Linked DNA regions of Diceros bicornis minor. The protein of the gene in region 1 interacts with the protein of each later gene in a pairwise test. Links are inferred from orthologs where the notes say so. Each region holds a gene or a part of one and is shown in the gene's direction. Other genes may lie near its edges.

Evidence for each region.
Region 2: the proteins of CERT1 (region 1) and ACTL8 interact in binary tests that used the Homo sapiens proteins (3 or more experiments, as listed by UniProt). The two-hybrid records come from large-scale screens. The link is inferred for Diceros bicornis minor from reciprocal best matches to the Homo sapiens genes CERT1 and ACTL8.

What each region holds. Positions count from the first base shown.
Region 1 is NC_080740.1:4,955,379-4,962,717, reverse strand, and holds the start of CERT1 (ceramide transfer protein), read left to right. Parts: upstream 1-4,068; 5' UTR 4,069-4,411; coding exon 4,412-4,507; intron 4,508-7,339. UniProt on the Homo sapiens protein: Shelters ceramides and diacylglycerol lipids inside its START domain and mediates the intracellular trafficking of ceramides and diacylglycerol lipids in a non-vesicular manner.
Region 2 is NC_080752.1:35,111,841-35,119,198, forward strand, and holds ACTL8 (actin-like protein 8), read left to right. Parts: upstream 1-4,276; coding exon 4,277-4,624; intron 4,625-6,582; coding exon 6,583-7,335; downstream 7,336-7,358.

The sequences.
Region 1 (7,339 bases):
CTGTGGCTTAGTGGTTAAGTGCGCGCGCTCCACTACTGGTGGGATGGGTTCGGATCCCGGGCACGCATGGACGCAGCGCTTCTCCAGCCATGCTGAGGCCACGTCCCACATACAGCAACTAGAAGGATGTGCAACTATGACATACAACTATCTACTGGGGCTTTGGAGAAAAAAAGGAGGAGGACTAGCAATAGATATTAGCTCAGAGCCGGTCTTCCTCAGCAAAAGAGGAGGATTAGTATGGATGTTAGCTCAGGGCTGATCTTCCCCCCCAAAAAAAAAAAGAGGAAGCGGGACTAGAGCTACCCAGTCTGTGGTATTTTGTTATGGCAACCTGAGCTGACTAATAAAGGCTCTTTACAGCACCATTTTTAAAAATTAGACAATCTTTTCAGTTTCAATGTGGGACATCCTCTCCTGTTATAGTTACAGAATTGAGAACAAATATTTCCCCTCATTCCTCTATCTGTTAATCAGTAAAATTGCAAAGAGTCTCAGTTCCAATACCTCAGTGTTTTCTGGCTTCTGTGTTTTGCCAGTGGGAGTAGAAGGCAGGGATGAAGTCTTTGGGATTGGTGTTTAGTGGAGATAAGAGCTGGGAGAATGAGATAAGGTGGAAAACAGGGAGAAAGAGGAATTGAAGAACTCTAGTGGGATGAGAAGGCTGGAAACAGGATACTTGGGCTCAAACTACAACTATGCTTTTTACTAGCTGTATGACCTTTGGAAAGTTATTTAACTTCTCTGTGGTTCAGTTTATTCATGTGAAATATAAGAAATAGAAACAGAATAGAAATAATAAATTCTACATTGGAGTTAAATAAGACAGCATAGATCTAAGAGCTGGATAAAGGAAAGATTTTCAAAATCATTAGCTGAATTAAGAGCATAGTTGCTCTGATATACTTATCTACAGGATATATTATTTATTTACACAATTCTTCCCACTTTGAGAGGTATTCTGAAGCAAAGAAAAGGGTATGATCTCTGAAATCAGATAGGTCTGTGTTCAAATCCTAACTCTGCCACTTAGCAGCTATACAACACTGGGTAACTTAGCCTCCCTGAGCTTCAGCTGTATTATCCTTATTTTTTAACCCCCCCCCCCCAAAGCCCCAGTAGATAGTTGTATGTCACAGCTGCACATCCTTCTAGTTGCTGTATATGGGATGCGGCCTCAGCATGGCCGGAGAAGCGGTGCGTCGGTGCGCGCCCGGGATCCGAACCCGGGCCGCCAGCAGCGGAGCTCGCACACTTAACCACTAAGCCACGGGGCCGGCCCTGCAGTATCCTTAAAATGAGGCCAAACTTATATAGTTTGTAAGGAAAAAGTCAGATCAGGAATGTAAAACGCCTGACCCAGGCTAAGACTTAAAATTGTAAAGATGTCATTTTCTTTACAAATTAAGTGCATTCTCAATCCAAATCCCCATAGAATTTTTCATGCAATTTGACAAGCTGTTCTAAAATTAACCTGGAAGAGAAGATACACAAAAATATCCAAATGAAAAAGAACATTAGCAGAATTTTGCTATTATATATATGAAAAGAGTGTAAAGTCAAGTAATTAAATCAGTATGGTATTAGCATAGGTAGACAAATAGATCAATGAAAAAGAATGGAGTCCAGAAACAGACCTGCATATCACATAGATATAAGGGTAAGAACAGACTATTCAATGAAGTGTTGGGCCAAGTGGCTGTCCTCAAGTAACAATTAAATTCCTACCTCATTCCATATACAAAAATAAATCCCAGGTGGGTTCAAGTTCTAAAAGTAAAAAAAAAAAATTACTAAAAGAGAAAATACAGAACATTCATAAGAGGGTTGGGGGAAGCTCTAAGTAAGAGAGAAATCTCAGAAGGTATCCCTCTCACCAGAGAACAGAAAGCAAGCTCACGTTATTTTATTCTTGTACTGCAATTTCTTCCCTTCAACAGAAATGAAGAGAATCCCAACCTCTAATGTGGTATTCTAATCAGTATACAAAAATCCTTCTGTACTTAAAAAAAATTTTTTAATAATCTTATAAGTATAGAGGAACAACGTGGCAAAAATCTTTTTTAAAAAGGAAATTTTCTCTCATATTAATATTAAATACAATGAAACAATTTCCTACTGAGTAAGTGGGCACCTTAGTGAGCTACGTGTTGGTGGTTACAACCACACACAACTTAGAAATGCACACAACAGAAAGTCCAATTTAAAAATAAACATATACTATGCTCCCACGATTCTAAACTGCATTATGAAGTGGATATCTCAACAATTCACAACCATTTATTAAGACTAATGACATTTTAAAACTTAGAGCTTAAAAGATCCAGAAATAGGAAGTCTAACTATATTAGGTAATCGGAAGGCAAAACAAAACTTAATTGCTTCAGTATTCATCATTCTAAAGGTATAATTTAGTAACTCAATAAAGAGGAAAAGATGTGCTGTGGATTTTCTTTTTTGTCTTTTGAATGACAACCTTGGGATTATGTTTTAATTAACATGTTAATACAGTATTTTCAAAAGCTTTATCTCAAGGTTTTATTCACCTGAATGGCTTTCAATTATTATCCCTTGATTTCACAATGGACAAAATTTGTAACTTATTTACATAGATTCAGCATCTATAAGTGTCAATCTAGGGGACTGAAAGATACCTTAGATATTTCTCAGAGGCACTTCCCATCATTCCGTTTTTTGCTAAAGATCCCAGTTAAATTGGCCACTATCGCTACCAGAGTTACTTCTGGCCACTGTGCCTTTTCCCCTAGGCTCGTAATTTCACTGCTATCCTCTCGTCCCTGCAGTAAGCAGGTATTCTTTCTAAGGTTTAACCAGGAATTTTACTGTTGGTAATGATTAGGAAATTAACAAGATGTAAAAATAGCAAACGAGAGAAAAGAACTGAAGCTACATAGCTCAAGATCTCACAATAAAAGTTATCCTTAAACGTATGCAAAACGACTAGACGAGACGTTAGTTCTTTTACTGGTCCTTCCACTAATTCTGGTCTTAAAACAAAGCCAGCCTCCTATTGCCTAATCCCTCCATATGCAATACGACTACTGCACTTGGATCTTTCCTACACAAGAGAGTTTCTATTCCAACCTTTCCTGTCTTTCAGAGAGAGGCGGGTCGGTAGAGATGGTTAACCTGGGGCTCAGGAAGATCCTCACCCACAACTCAGAGAAAACTCCAGGCTATCATCTCACATTCTCATTTTACTTTAAAAGCTCCTCAAGCGTCATTTATTCTCAGACATCTTCAAAATGACTTTCCACAAAACAAAAACCGAAAATCTAACAACGAGAAGGGCTTGCTCTGGTGCGACGGGACTGAGCATGCTTCCTTCAAAAGCGGGAAACGTCAAGCGTGAAGACTCACTTCCAAAGAGCAAGGTGCAAGCCCTCCGAAATTGGCAGAGGAGTTTGGGCGGAAAGGAACTCCCGTGTCACCAGAGAGGTGGCAAACCCCTGGCCCGCGGCCGAGGCGGATGCGCCGGGTACACTCCCGCCTGGGCGAGCGGGAAGATGCTCCCGGGCTTTCGGGAAGCCGTCATGGAGGCAGGCCCGCCATCCTCAGCGGAGAGTTACCACGTCCGGGCCCGCAAGCCCAGGGGGTTCGTCACAAAGAGGCTCGGCAGAGATAAAAGCGCGGCCGAGGGGACGGGTCACGCAACTGTCACACGAAGCCCAGCCACTGCTTGACCGCCCCCAACGCGACAAGCCTTCCCGGCGCGGAGCACTCACCCGTTGCCTCAGGATCGCGACTACAACTCCCGGGAGGCCGCGCGGCCGACGGAGCAGCGACCTTCCCAAAATGCAGCGCGGCGGCGTCCCCGTCCCTCCTCCTCCTCCTCTCTCCGCTCCTCCCCCTCGTCTAGCCGCGTCACCCGGGAGGGCCGGAGGCAGGCGCGGGCGGAGATCCCGAGCCTCGGCGTGCCGCGTCAGACGTCGGGAGGGGCCGGGGCGGGGCCCGGGGGAGAGGGGAGGGCAGAGCGGAGGGGAGGGTAAATAGTGGGCCAGGCAGGAAGATGGCGGCGTAGCGGAGGTCTGAGTGGCCTCGGGTCTGCGGCTGGATTTCCTCGTCCGTCTTCCTCCCGTGTTTTTCTGGCTGAGCTTGGCATCGAGGGGGCTGAGTTCGGGCGGCCGCGCCGGGCGCACCGCGGGGGTCACGGCGGCGGCGGCGGCTGACGGCTGGAAGGGCGGGCTTCCCTCGCCGCGCGTCCTCCTTCCCCGGTCCGCTCGGTGTCAGGCGCGGCGGGCGGACTTCGTCCCTCCTGCCGCTCCCCCCCGCGCCGGAGCGCGCTCCCCTGCCTTCGCCATCCCCCGACCCTTCACCCCGGGCACTGGGCGCCTCCTCCGGCGCAGCGCAGGGAGCGGGGGCCGGGCTCCTGCTCGGCTGTCGCGCCTCCATGTCGGATAACCAGAGCTGGAACTCGTCGGGCTCGGAGGAGGACCCGGAGACGGAGTCCAGGCTGCCGGTGGAGCGCTGCGGGGTCCTCAGTAAGGTGAGCACCCCGGCGGCCAAGGGCCCGCGGCCCGGACTCACCTGCCGCCAGGGAGCCGGGCCGCTGAGGGCGTGGGCTGGGGCTGGGCGAGAGGCGCGGGCCGTCCGGGCGGGGGCTGCGGAATGTGCCGGGGTGCGGAGCGGAGGGCCGCCGCGGCCGGGCCCGGGCCAGGGGGCCGTGGGGTGCGGGGGAAGGGGACTGTCGTCCTCGCCTGCCCTAGCTCGGCGGCCGAGCACCGGGGAAGACGTGTCCCAGCCCCGGCTCCAGTTTGGGAACGAGATGCGACCGCGACTTGGGACTCAGGGCGGCAGCTGTCCCGGGTGTAGGAATCCAGGACGGACAAGAGCGGTGTCTGAACAGCTGGGTATGGGAGTGATGCCAGTCGGACCTCAAACGGGGGTAGCCGGGAGATGCCGAACAGAGGGAGGTTGAGGGTTCTACGGCCGCGGCTGTTAAGACAGAAGCAGGAGCAGCCCGGCTTGGTGCTGAAATCGGAGGTGGTGAACTGTGCCAGGTTAGATGGGGTGAGACATCTCACTGAGGAGGACCTGTGTACTTTTCCCCTCATCCTTGACCCCAGTTCAGAAAAGAACTGTTGAATCAGCACATGATAGGTACAAGAAATATTCATAGTGACTTGGAACATGTCAGAAGGAGACCGACCTTTAGTCGAGGAAGAAGAGCGTTATTTAGTATTAATTTTAGTTAAAATATTCTTGCAGTCAGAGGACCAGCGTAAGGAAAAGACATCTTATTTTGCTGTATTTTTTAAAACTCCCTTTTTCAAAATTTTAGCAATGCAGATAGTCACTTGTAGGACTTGAAGGCTAAGTTAAAATAGATGAGGCCTTTTTTAAGGGAGAAAGTGGGTGATCTTTTATTTTTCTGGGGCAGTTTTTTGGTTTTGGGTTTTTTTTTTTTTTTTTAAGTTTTTGCTATCAGAAGGTTCACATTGTCTTTTTTACTTCCTTCTCCCTTCCTGTTAAACTTTTAGAAATGGTTGGAGCTAGCATTTAACTTGGAGAGGGGGAGCTGCGGCCAGTCCTTCAACAAGCTGGTTGGTCATAAGATACTAGGTCATGTGCAGCTACTGGCTATTAAGAAATCACCCTGTTCCCAGTATACGTGCGTTGGCTAGGCATTTGGTCATCGTTTGTGGAATTGTTTCATATTAGGCGTTATATTGTCTTCAGAAGGCTGGTGAGAAAGAGCCTAAGAAAGGCGAGAGATGTCAGAACTAAGGCTTGCAAGTGCTAACTTTTATTTGTATAGCAGAAAAATTACTATGTGTGTTGGTATTGTGATCATTATTGGAATTTCCATGAAAAGTTTTCAGTAAAGTGAAGTTCCCTAGGATTTCTTTAGATTAAATATATCTTGTAATTTAGAAATCTGTATTGAACGCATTGTGTAATATAGGTATGCATTTTCAGATGGAATTGTTTTGTAATGGGTTCTTTGCTTCTCAGTGATTCTGGTAGTTTCATCACTTTTCTCAATAAATGAAAAGCAGACTTCCAAATTAGTATTGTGGTGACGTTAAATATTTTACAAAACAAGCTGTACATTTGACCTGTTGACCATCAGTTTTGGGGGAGTGGGGGGAGGATTGGAGTGACTGGTGGAAAGAGCACTGGTGCTCTGAGTATTCACTGTGTGCAGAGCAGTGTAGTAGGTATATTGTATGACAAAAAGTGGAAGACTGTCTCCTTGATATTTAAATGCACAAAAATGTAGTATTTGGCCACTTTTATGGTAGGTAAGTAATTTCAATGTTGCTGCATATGTAGAAGCAACAGGAATATAGGTTTTGGTATTATTCTTGTTAATCGCTATGAAGGAAATTTCCCTGAAATTTAACAATTTAGGGTTATATATAGTGTTTCCTGGAAGCTTTTTAATCAAGAGTATTTTATATTGAATACGTGTTTTTAAATTTAAAGTACATATATATTTTGAGGAGGGAGTAAACTTCTATTAGAAATATACCAGTGTAGGGGCCGGCCCCGTGGCTTGGCGGTTAAGTGCGCGTGCTCCGCTACTGGCAGCCCGGGTTCGGATCCCGGGCGCACACCGACGCACCGCTTCTCCGGCCATGCTGAGGCTGCGTCCCACATACAGCAACTAGAAGGATGTGCAACTATGACATACACCTGTCTACTGGGGCTTTGGGGGAAAAAAGGAAGAGGATTGGCAATAGATGTTAGCTCAGGGCCGGTCTTCCTCAGCAAAAAGAGGAGGATTGGCATGGATGTTAGCTCAGGGCTGACCTTCCTCACAAAAAAAAAAAAAGAAGAAATATACCAGTCCAGGGACCAGCTGGGTGGCGTGGTGGTTAAGTTCACGCATTCTGCTTTGGCTGCGGCCCAGGGGTTCGCCGGTTCAGATCCTGGGTGTGGACCTACGCACTGCTCATCAAGCCATCCTGAGGCGGCGTCCCACATAGAGCCACTAGAAGGATGTACAGCTATGACATACAACTATCTACTGGAGCTTTGGGGGGAAAAAAGGAGGAAGATTGGCAACATATGTTAGCTCAGGGCTAATCTTCCTCAAAAAAACAAATAAATAAAATTTTTTAAAAAAGAAATACAGCAGTCTAAGGTTTTTTCCATATGGTAATCCAAAATACATGGAATTACTTCTGAAACATATTTTCTATAGAATTGCTTCTTAAGCACATAGGTTTCAAAAATACTGGATAGACAATAATTCTAGGTAGTTATAACAAATATCAGCATGGATCATGGATAGGAGAAGATTCACGCCTTGCTAGTACTTGAGAGCAGCTAAACCTGGATAAAATAAATCTCATCCAGCTTCTTTGGAATC
Region 2 (7,358 bases), on another chromosome or scaffold:
GATGCATAACTCGTTCTAGCTTTTCAGGTGAAAACTCTTGGCGTCGTCCTTCCTTCCTCATCTCATCTCCTACATCGTTGTATCAGTCTGTCTTTAACACATGCAGATTCTGACCACCTCTCATCCTCTTCACTGCTACCGCCTTAGGCACCTTAGTGCAGGCCACCGTCATCTCTCACGTCCTTCCTTTCCATCTCCTGCCCCTTCTCTTGCCCTTTACACTCTATTCTTCATATCGGCCCAAGTGGTCCTTTTATAACTCAAGTCAGAGCATGTCATTCCTCTGTTCAGACCCCCAGTGGTTTCCCACGTGTCTAAGCACAATACAAAGGCCTGCGAGACCCACCCGAGATCTTCAACACCCTTCCCCTCGCCCACTACATCTCCACTATACTGGCCTCCTGCCTGTTCCTAGAGCACATCTAGCAGCTTCTTCCTCGGGGCCTTTGCACTTGCTGTTCCTTTGGCTTGGAATGCTTTTCCATGTAATCATATGCCTTATTCTCTCACTCCGTTCAGTTCTCTACTCAAATGTCACCTTATAGAGAGGACTTTTCTGATTTCCCTATTTAGGATAACATCGTTCCTCTGTGTCCCTTATAATCCCTGTTCTTCTTATCAGGTTTTCTTTTTCTTCGTTGTACTAACCCTCGCTGGTGTGACACATTTGATCTGGTGCTTACTGACAGTCTTTCTCAGTAGAATGTAAGCTCTGGGAGGGCAGGAACTATGTTAGTCTAGAATGGTTTTTGGTACATAGTGGGTGCTCAGTAAGGATTTGTAGAATAGGTAACTCAGTAAAAATACTTTTGAATATGTAGATTTTATCTCTATCCTTGGAGCTGGCTCTTGGAGCCATCCAACTTTCTTCCTACAGTCATAGTCCAGGGGAGGAATGGCCCCCTTCCCCCGACCCTCGTGCTCCCAGGCCAGGTCAGTTGGTCTCCAGGCTGGAGTCCCCCTCAGTGGACATCCTGATCGACAGCCACAGTGGACATCACCCTCCAATGTCTCCTGTGATTCCAAATGCCAGGGCCAAGGAAGCACTTATCAGTCACCCTGCTCTTGCGACGGGGAGGTCCGTGGCAGAGCCCGCTTCCCAGAATGTCAAGTAGGCCCTGGTTCTCCATCACTCTGGGTGATTGAGTGTGAGGAATCCATTACTCAGCCTGCCAGCAGGCGAGAAAGGAGACCAGCGCCTCAACTGCATTTCTTTCTTTTTTGCCCTCCCCCATCTGATGTCAGAGCTAATTAGAGGCAGTGAAGCCTAATCAGTGCCCCAAGGCTGGTGACGATGGGGAGCCACTGGCTAGGGCCAGCCCCAGAATGCAGCCATCGGCTGAGTGGCCTCCCTGGATGTCTGTCTTACAGAAAATACCCACGTGCATTCAAGGCACCAAGTCTGCTGTTTGTGTGACAATTTGTATTCTACAAGGCGATTTCATAAACCCTCCATTTGTCCCCGTGCCCACTGGGTTTTTCCCTTAAAATTTTTTTACTTAGAGTAAAAGTCATTCTTTTTAGCGTATAATTGCAAGAGTTTTGACAAATGCATACAGTTATATACCCACTTCCACAATCCAGATATAGCACAGTTCTATCGTCACCCCCAAATTCTACTAAGATCTTTTGTGGTCAACCCCTCTCTCCACCTCCGGTGCTGGCAGCCACCGATCTGTTTTCTGTCCTTACAGTTGTGCCTTTTCCAGGATGTCATATGAGTAGAGTCATACAGTATGTAGCCTTTTGGGTCTGGCTTTTTTTCACTCAGCTTAATACATTTGAGATTTATTCATGTTATTGGGTGTATCAGTTACTTGTTGCTTTTTATTGCTGAGTATTATTCCATTGAATGGAGATTTCTTTTTCCATTCCCCAGTTGAAGGATATTTAGATAGTTTCAAGTTTTTGGTGATTATGAATAAAGCTACCATAAACATGTGCGTAAAGGTTTTTGTGTGAACGTAAGCTTTTGTTTCCCTTGGGTGAATAAACTAGGAGTAGAAATACTAGGTTGAATGGTAGGTATAAATTTAACTTTTTAAGAAGCTTCCAGACTGTTTTCCAAAGTGGTTGTGCTCTTTCACATTCCCCAGCAGTGTCTGAAGGTTTCAGTTCCTCTGCCTCGTCAGCACTTGGTATAGCCAGCTTTTATCTTTAGCCATTCTCATAGGTATGTAGTGGTATCTTCTTGTGGTTTTAATTTCCATTTTCCTAATTACTAATGATGTTGAGCATCTTTTCATGTGTTTATTTGCCGTCCATCTATCTTCTTTTGTGAAATGTTTAAATCTTTTGCTCATTTAAAAAAAATTAGGTTGTTTTTCTTATTATTGGGTTTTGTGAATTCTTTATATTTTTTGAATACAAGGTCTTTATCAGATATATGATTTATAAATATTTCCTCCCAGTCTATGGCTTGTCTTTTTATTCTCTTAACAGCATCTTTTGAAGAGCAAAAGTTCTTAAATTTGACGACGTCCAGTTTATCAATTTGTTCTTGGGCCGGCCCCATGGCTTAGTGGTTAAGTGCACACGCTCTGCTACTGGCGGCCCGGGTTCGGATCCCGGGCGCGCACCGACCCACTACTTGTCTGGCCATGCTGAGGCCGCATCCCACGTACAGCAACTAGAAGGATGTGCAACTATGACATATAACTATCTACTGGGGCTTTGGGGGAAAAAATAAGGAGGAGGATTGGCAATAGATGTTAGCTCAGAGCTGGTCTTCCTCAGCAAAAAAAAAAGAGGAGGATTAGCATGGATGTTAGCTCAGGGCTGATCTTCCTCACAAAAAAAAAAAAAATTGTTCTCTTATGGATCAGGCTATTGAAGTTATATCTAAGAAAACTTTACCTTACCTCAGGTCACAAAGATTTTCTCCTATGTTATTTTAAAAAAAGTTTTATAGTTTTAGGTTTTACATGTAGGTCTATGATCCATTTTGAGTTGGTTTTTTGTAAGGTGTGATGTTGTATTAAGGTTAATTTTTTTGCATATGGACATCCAGTTGTTTCCTATCATTTATTGTAAAGACTCATCTTCCTCAATTTAATTGTTTTTGCACCTTGTCAAAGATCAGGCGACCTTTTTAGTGTGGGTCTATTTCTGGACTCTCTGTTCTGTCCCATGGGTCTACGTGACTATCCTTTCACCAATACCACATTGTCTCGGCTTCTGTAGTTTTACAGTAAGTCTGGAAACCAGGCAGTGACCACACCATTTTTTTAGCGTGGCAGTTATCATTCCCCAGCTTTACAGATAAGGAAACTGACCATCGTGCTTAGATGTCCTGCTTACAGCCTCCCTTATATAAGACGTTAGCTGCTCAGCTCATACTCGAAACCCACGTCTTCATGCCTCGCCTGATGCTCAGAGTGTGGCCTTTGGAGTCTAGTTCGGGTTTAACTCTCAGCCCTGCTTTTACTCATGTGTGGCCCTGAGAAAGCAACTTTACCCCCTTGTGCCTCAGTTTCCCTTTCTGTAAAATGCGTGTAACAATGGTAGCTGTCTTAAGATTGCTTTAAAGATTGAGTCCAGTATCGGGTCAAACCACATGAAATTGCTGGTGTTTGATCCTTTTTGACTGACACAAATGGCAATTTTACATAGTTCAACCTAATATGCAAATGTTCCTGATAGTACTAAATGGCGGGTGTGTACTCCAGGAATGGTAGCTGTAGCTGTCGTCATTATCGTCATTGTCGTTGTCATCGTCACTATTATTCCTACTACTCCTGCTGCTGTGGCTGCTGCACTGTTGCTGTTGAGCGCGGCGGCCCTGAGGCTGATGATTCGCCTTCTGTGTGTCCTTGAGTCAGGCAGCCAACGTCCACCAAGCACTTCCTGCATGACAAGCTTCTTGCCGAGTCTGCAAAGAGTAACAGGGCCCAACCTCTGCTCCTGTGGAGTGGAAGTGCCCGCCTGGTGTAGTAGAGGAGTGTGCAAAGTGCCACGAGAGAAGCTTGGTGGGAAGGAGGGGTTGGCAGGACTTTCCAGAGGGGGCCCATTAGGTGGGCCTTGTAGGACGATTGGGAGTCTGGGACGGGAAGAACATTCCAGGAGCAGGTTACAGCTTGTGTAAAGTCTTGGAAGGGGGAACAGATAGGCTTCAAGGGAGCCTGGGGTTTGACTCTGGGGTGGAGAGTGGGAAGCAGCCCACGGGGGCCTAGAATGGGTTCACAACCCCCATCCTTTCCCTCCATAGGTGGCCCTAGTCTGTCAAACATCTTTGAGGAGCCAAGTCCGGAAGGCCTCTCCCTCCTCTGCCTCTGCCATGGCCGCGAGAACCATTATCATCGACCACGGGTCTGGCTTTCTGAAGGCTGGCCTGTCCGGGTGGAATGAGCCCCAGATGGTCTTCCCGAGCGTTGTGAACTACATTCCGTGCAGGGAGAACCCCGGCCCCAGCTACGCCCGAAGACGCGTGAGTCTGGGCATCGACATTTACCATCCTGACACCTTCAGCTACCCCGTCCAGCGTGGCCGTGTCCTCAACTGGGAGGGCGTGGAGCACATCTGGTCCTTCGTCCTGGAGACACATAGACGGGAGCACGAGGACTCCCCTGTGATAGTCACAGAGTCCCCCCTGAGGGAGCCTGTGGACCGACAGAAGACCCTGGAGGTAAGGCCTTCTCGGGGCTGCCCTTACTGGGGAGAGGGGAGCAGCCTGGCACTATGTGTTCAGACATGACTGGGCATTAGGAACTCTGCTTTCTAAGTAATTTGCCCCACAGATGTTTACTGAGTACTTAGTGTGTGCCCAGCACTGTGCTGGGCAAGAGGGGGCTCCTCCTGCAGGTAGAGACGCAGCAGGTAAAATACTCTGTGGAAAGGGTGCTTCTGGGAGAGACACCTGGTATTCGTTCATGGATTCCATAAATGTTCACAGATCATGTTCTAGCCCTTAAAGAGCTTATGTTATGGGGGAAGACTTGACCATGAATAAGTTAACAAGTAAAAATCCAGAGAGCGATTAGTTCTAAAAGCAAAATGAAATGGGGTGATAGCTGGCTGGTGGGGATAGAGGGAACCCCTTCGAAGAGGGTAATGAGGGAGAGCTTCTCTAAGGAGATGATTTCAGCCAATGAGGCTGGAGCCCAGCGAACTAAGGAAGGTGGCAGGAGGGACACAGGAAGATGAAGTCAGCAGGGGACAGACCTTCCAGTCCTGGTGGGCTGTGGGAAACACTTGGATTTTACCCTAAATCAAGGGTTGGCAAACTACAGCCAGTGGGCCAAGTTTGGCCCACCATCTGATTTTATAAATAAAGTTTTATTGGAACATAGCCACGCCCACTCATTTACATATCGTCTGTGGCTGCTTTCACACTGCAGCAGCAGAGTTGAGTAGTTGTGAGAGAGACTGTATAGGTTTGTAAAGCCTAAAATATTTATTACTGTAGGTTTGCTAGATAAAATATGTGATACCGAGTTAGATTTGAATTTCAGATAAACAGCAAATAATGTTTTAGTGTAAGTATGTCTCGAATATCGAATATTGCATGGGACATACTTACACTAAAACATTATTTGCTGTTTATCTGAAAGCCAGATTTAACTGGGCAGCCTATATTTCTATTTGCTGAATCTGGCGATCCTGTCTAGCCCTTTACAGAAAATGTTTGCCAACCCCTGCTCTAAATGAATAGAAACCTGCTGGAGAGTTTTAAGTGGGGGAGTCATATTTGATTTTCTATTTGAAAGGGAGGACCTTGGCTTCTATTAGGGAACTGGATGGTGGAGGGGCAATATTCTGAGCATGGGAACCGAGGCAGCTCCCTCCCGCTCAGGGCAGAAGATGGGCCTGCCGGGGCCTAAAGAGGGAGGTGAGTCTCCAAAGGCTGTAGCAGGAGGGACAGTTGCTGCGTTTCTTCATCTATAGCATCAGAAACTTGAGGATGTAGCCAGAGCCGGGGAACTGGGGAGGCGGTGGGGGTGCTCTGTAAAGATCTAGGGGGTGACGGGCGTGGGGGGTAAATCAGCCTAGGGACTTGGCCAAACCCTAAATATTAGAATTCTAGTTTTGTCTTGATGTTTGAAAAGTTTTTATTCTAAAAAAACTAAGGCTTCACCTACCAGGAGGTGGGCGTATGTTTTCTTTTTCTTTGTACTCCTCCATTTGGGAGGCAGTGGCGAAGATGCTGCACTTGTTGCTTATTTCTTCTTCCCTCTTCCAAAGAAATGGTTCAGCCGGCACATCTGCCTCCTGGCTGTGCTCCCCCTCCAGTCCCCCCACTGCTCGCAGAGCCCGGCATCTCAGCCCATTTCCTGCAGCTGATGGCTCTTCCCACCCCTCCACCATGTGGAGTGCTGAAAACCCCACATGAAACCAGCCCCTGAGGGCAAATCTGCCTCTTTCTAACCCTCTAGAGCCCATCCCTTATTCCCACAGCATGAGCTCCAGGGGTCCTGGGACCAATGTCCTGGGGCAGCCCCCCAGTCCCTCGAGGACGCAGTTCTGTGCTGATTTCAGTTTTGGGAGCTGAGCCCCCAGCACGGTCTTGGGGAAAACAGAAATGAATCAGGGCCCTTGGTTTGGAGAAAACACCCTGAGTGTGTCAGTCTTCTCCCCTTCTTGCAGATTATGTTTGAGTTACTGGATGTCCGGTCCATACTCCTGGCCGACCAGCTGGAGATGTCCCTGTACGCCTCTGGCCTGCTGACCGGCGTGGTGGTTGATTCTGGTTACGGCCTGACCCGCGTGCAGCCTTTCCATCTGGGCCACCCCTTACAGCCCAGTGGTAAGACGCTGGAGTTCGCGGGCCAGGATCTCTCCGCCTACCTCTTCAAGAGCCTCTTTAAGGAAGATAGCAACCAACACAACTTGTTTCAGCTGGACACGGTCACCAACACTCAGATGAACAAGTGCTACGTGCCGCAGAATCTGGGGGAGGCGCTGGACTTCCGTCAGAGCCTGCCCAATGGCTCAGATGAGAACAACACCTATCAGCTCCCGGATGGCACCCCCGTGGAGCTGACCCCCATGCAGCGGCTGGCTCCCGAGATGTTCTTCAGCCCCCAGGTGTTCGACCTGGAGGGGCCCAGCATCTCTCAGGCTGTCTTGGATTCCATCCAGACCTGCGAAGCCTCTCTGCACCCACTGCTCATCTCCCACGTGGTGGCCTGCGGGGGGAACACCCTCTATCCGGGCTTCACGAAGCGCCTGTACAAGGAGCTGATCGAACATCATTTCTGCTCCACCAAGACCACCGTATGGGTGGGTTCCAACAGAAACTTTAGTGTCTGGTTAGGAGCATCTGTTGTGGCTCATCTGTCTACCTACAAGTCTGAGTGGATGACCAAAGAGGAGTATGAAGAGAGTCTGAGGCTGTGACCTGTTGGCTGGCTTCTGGGCCC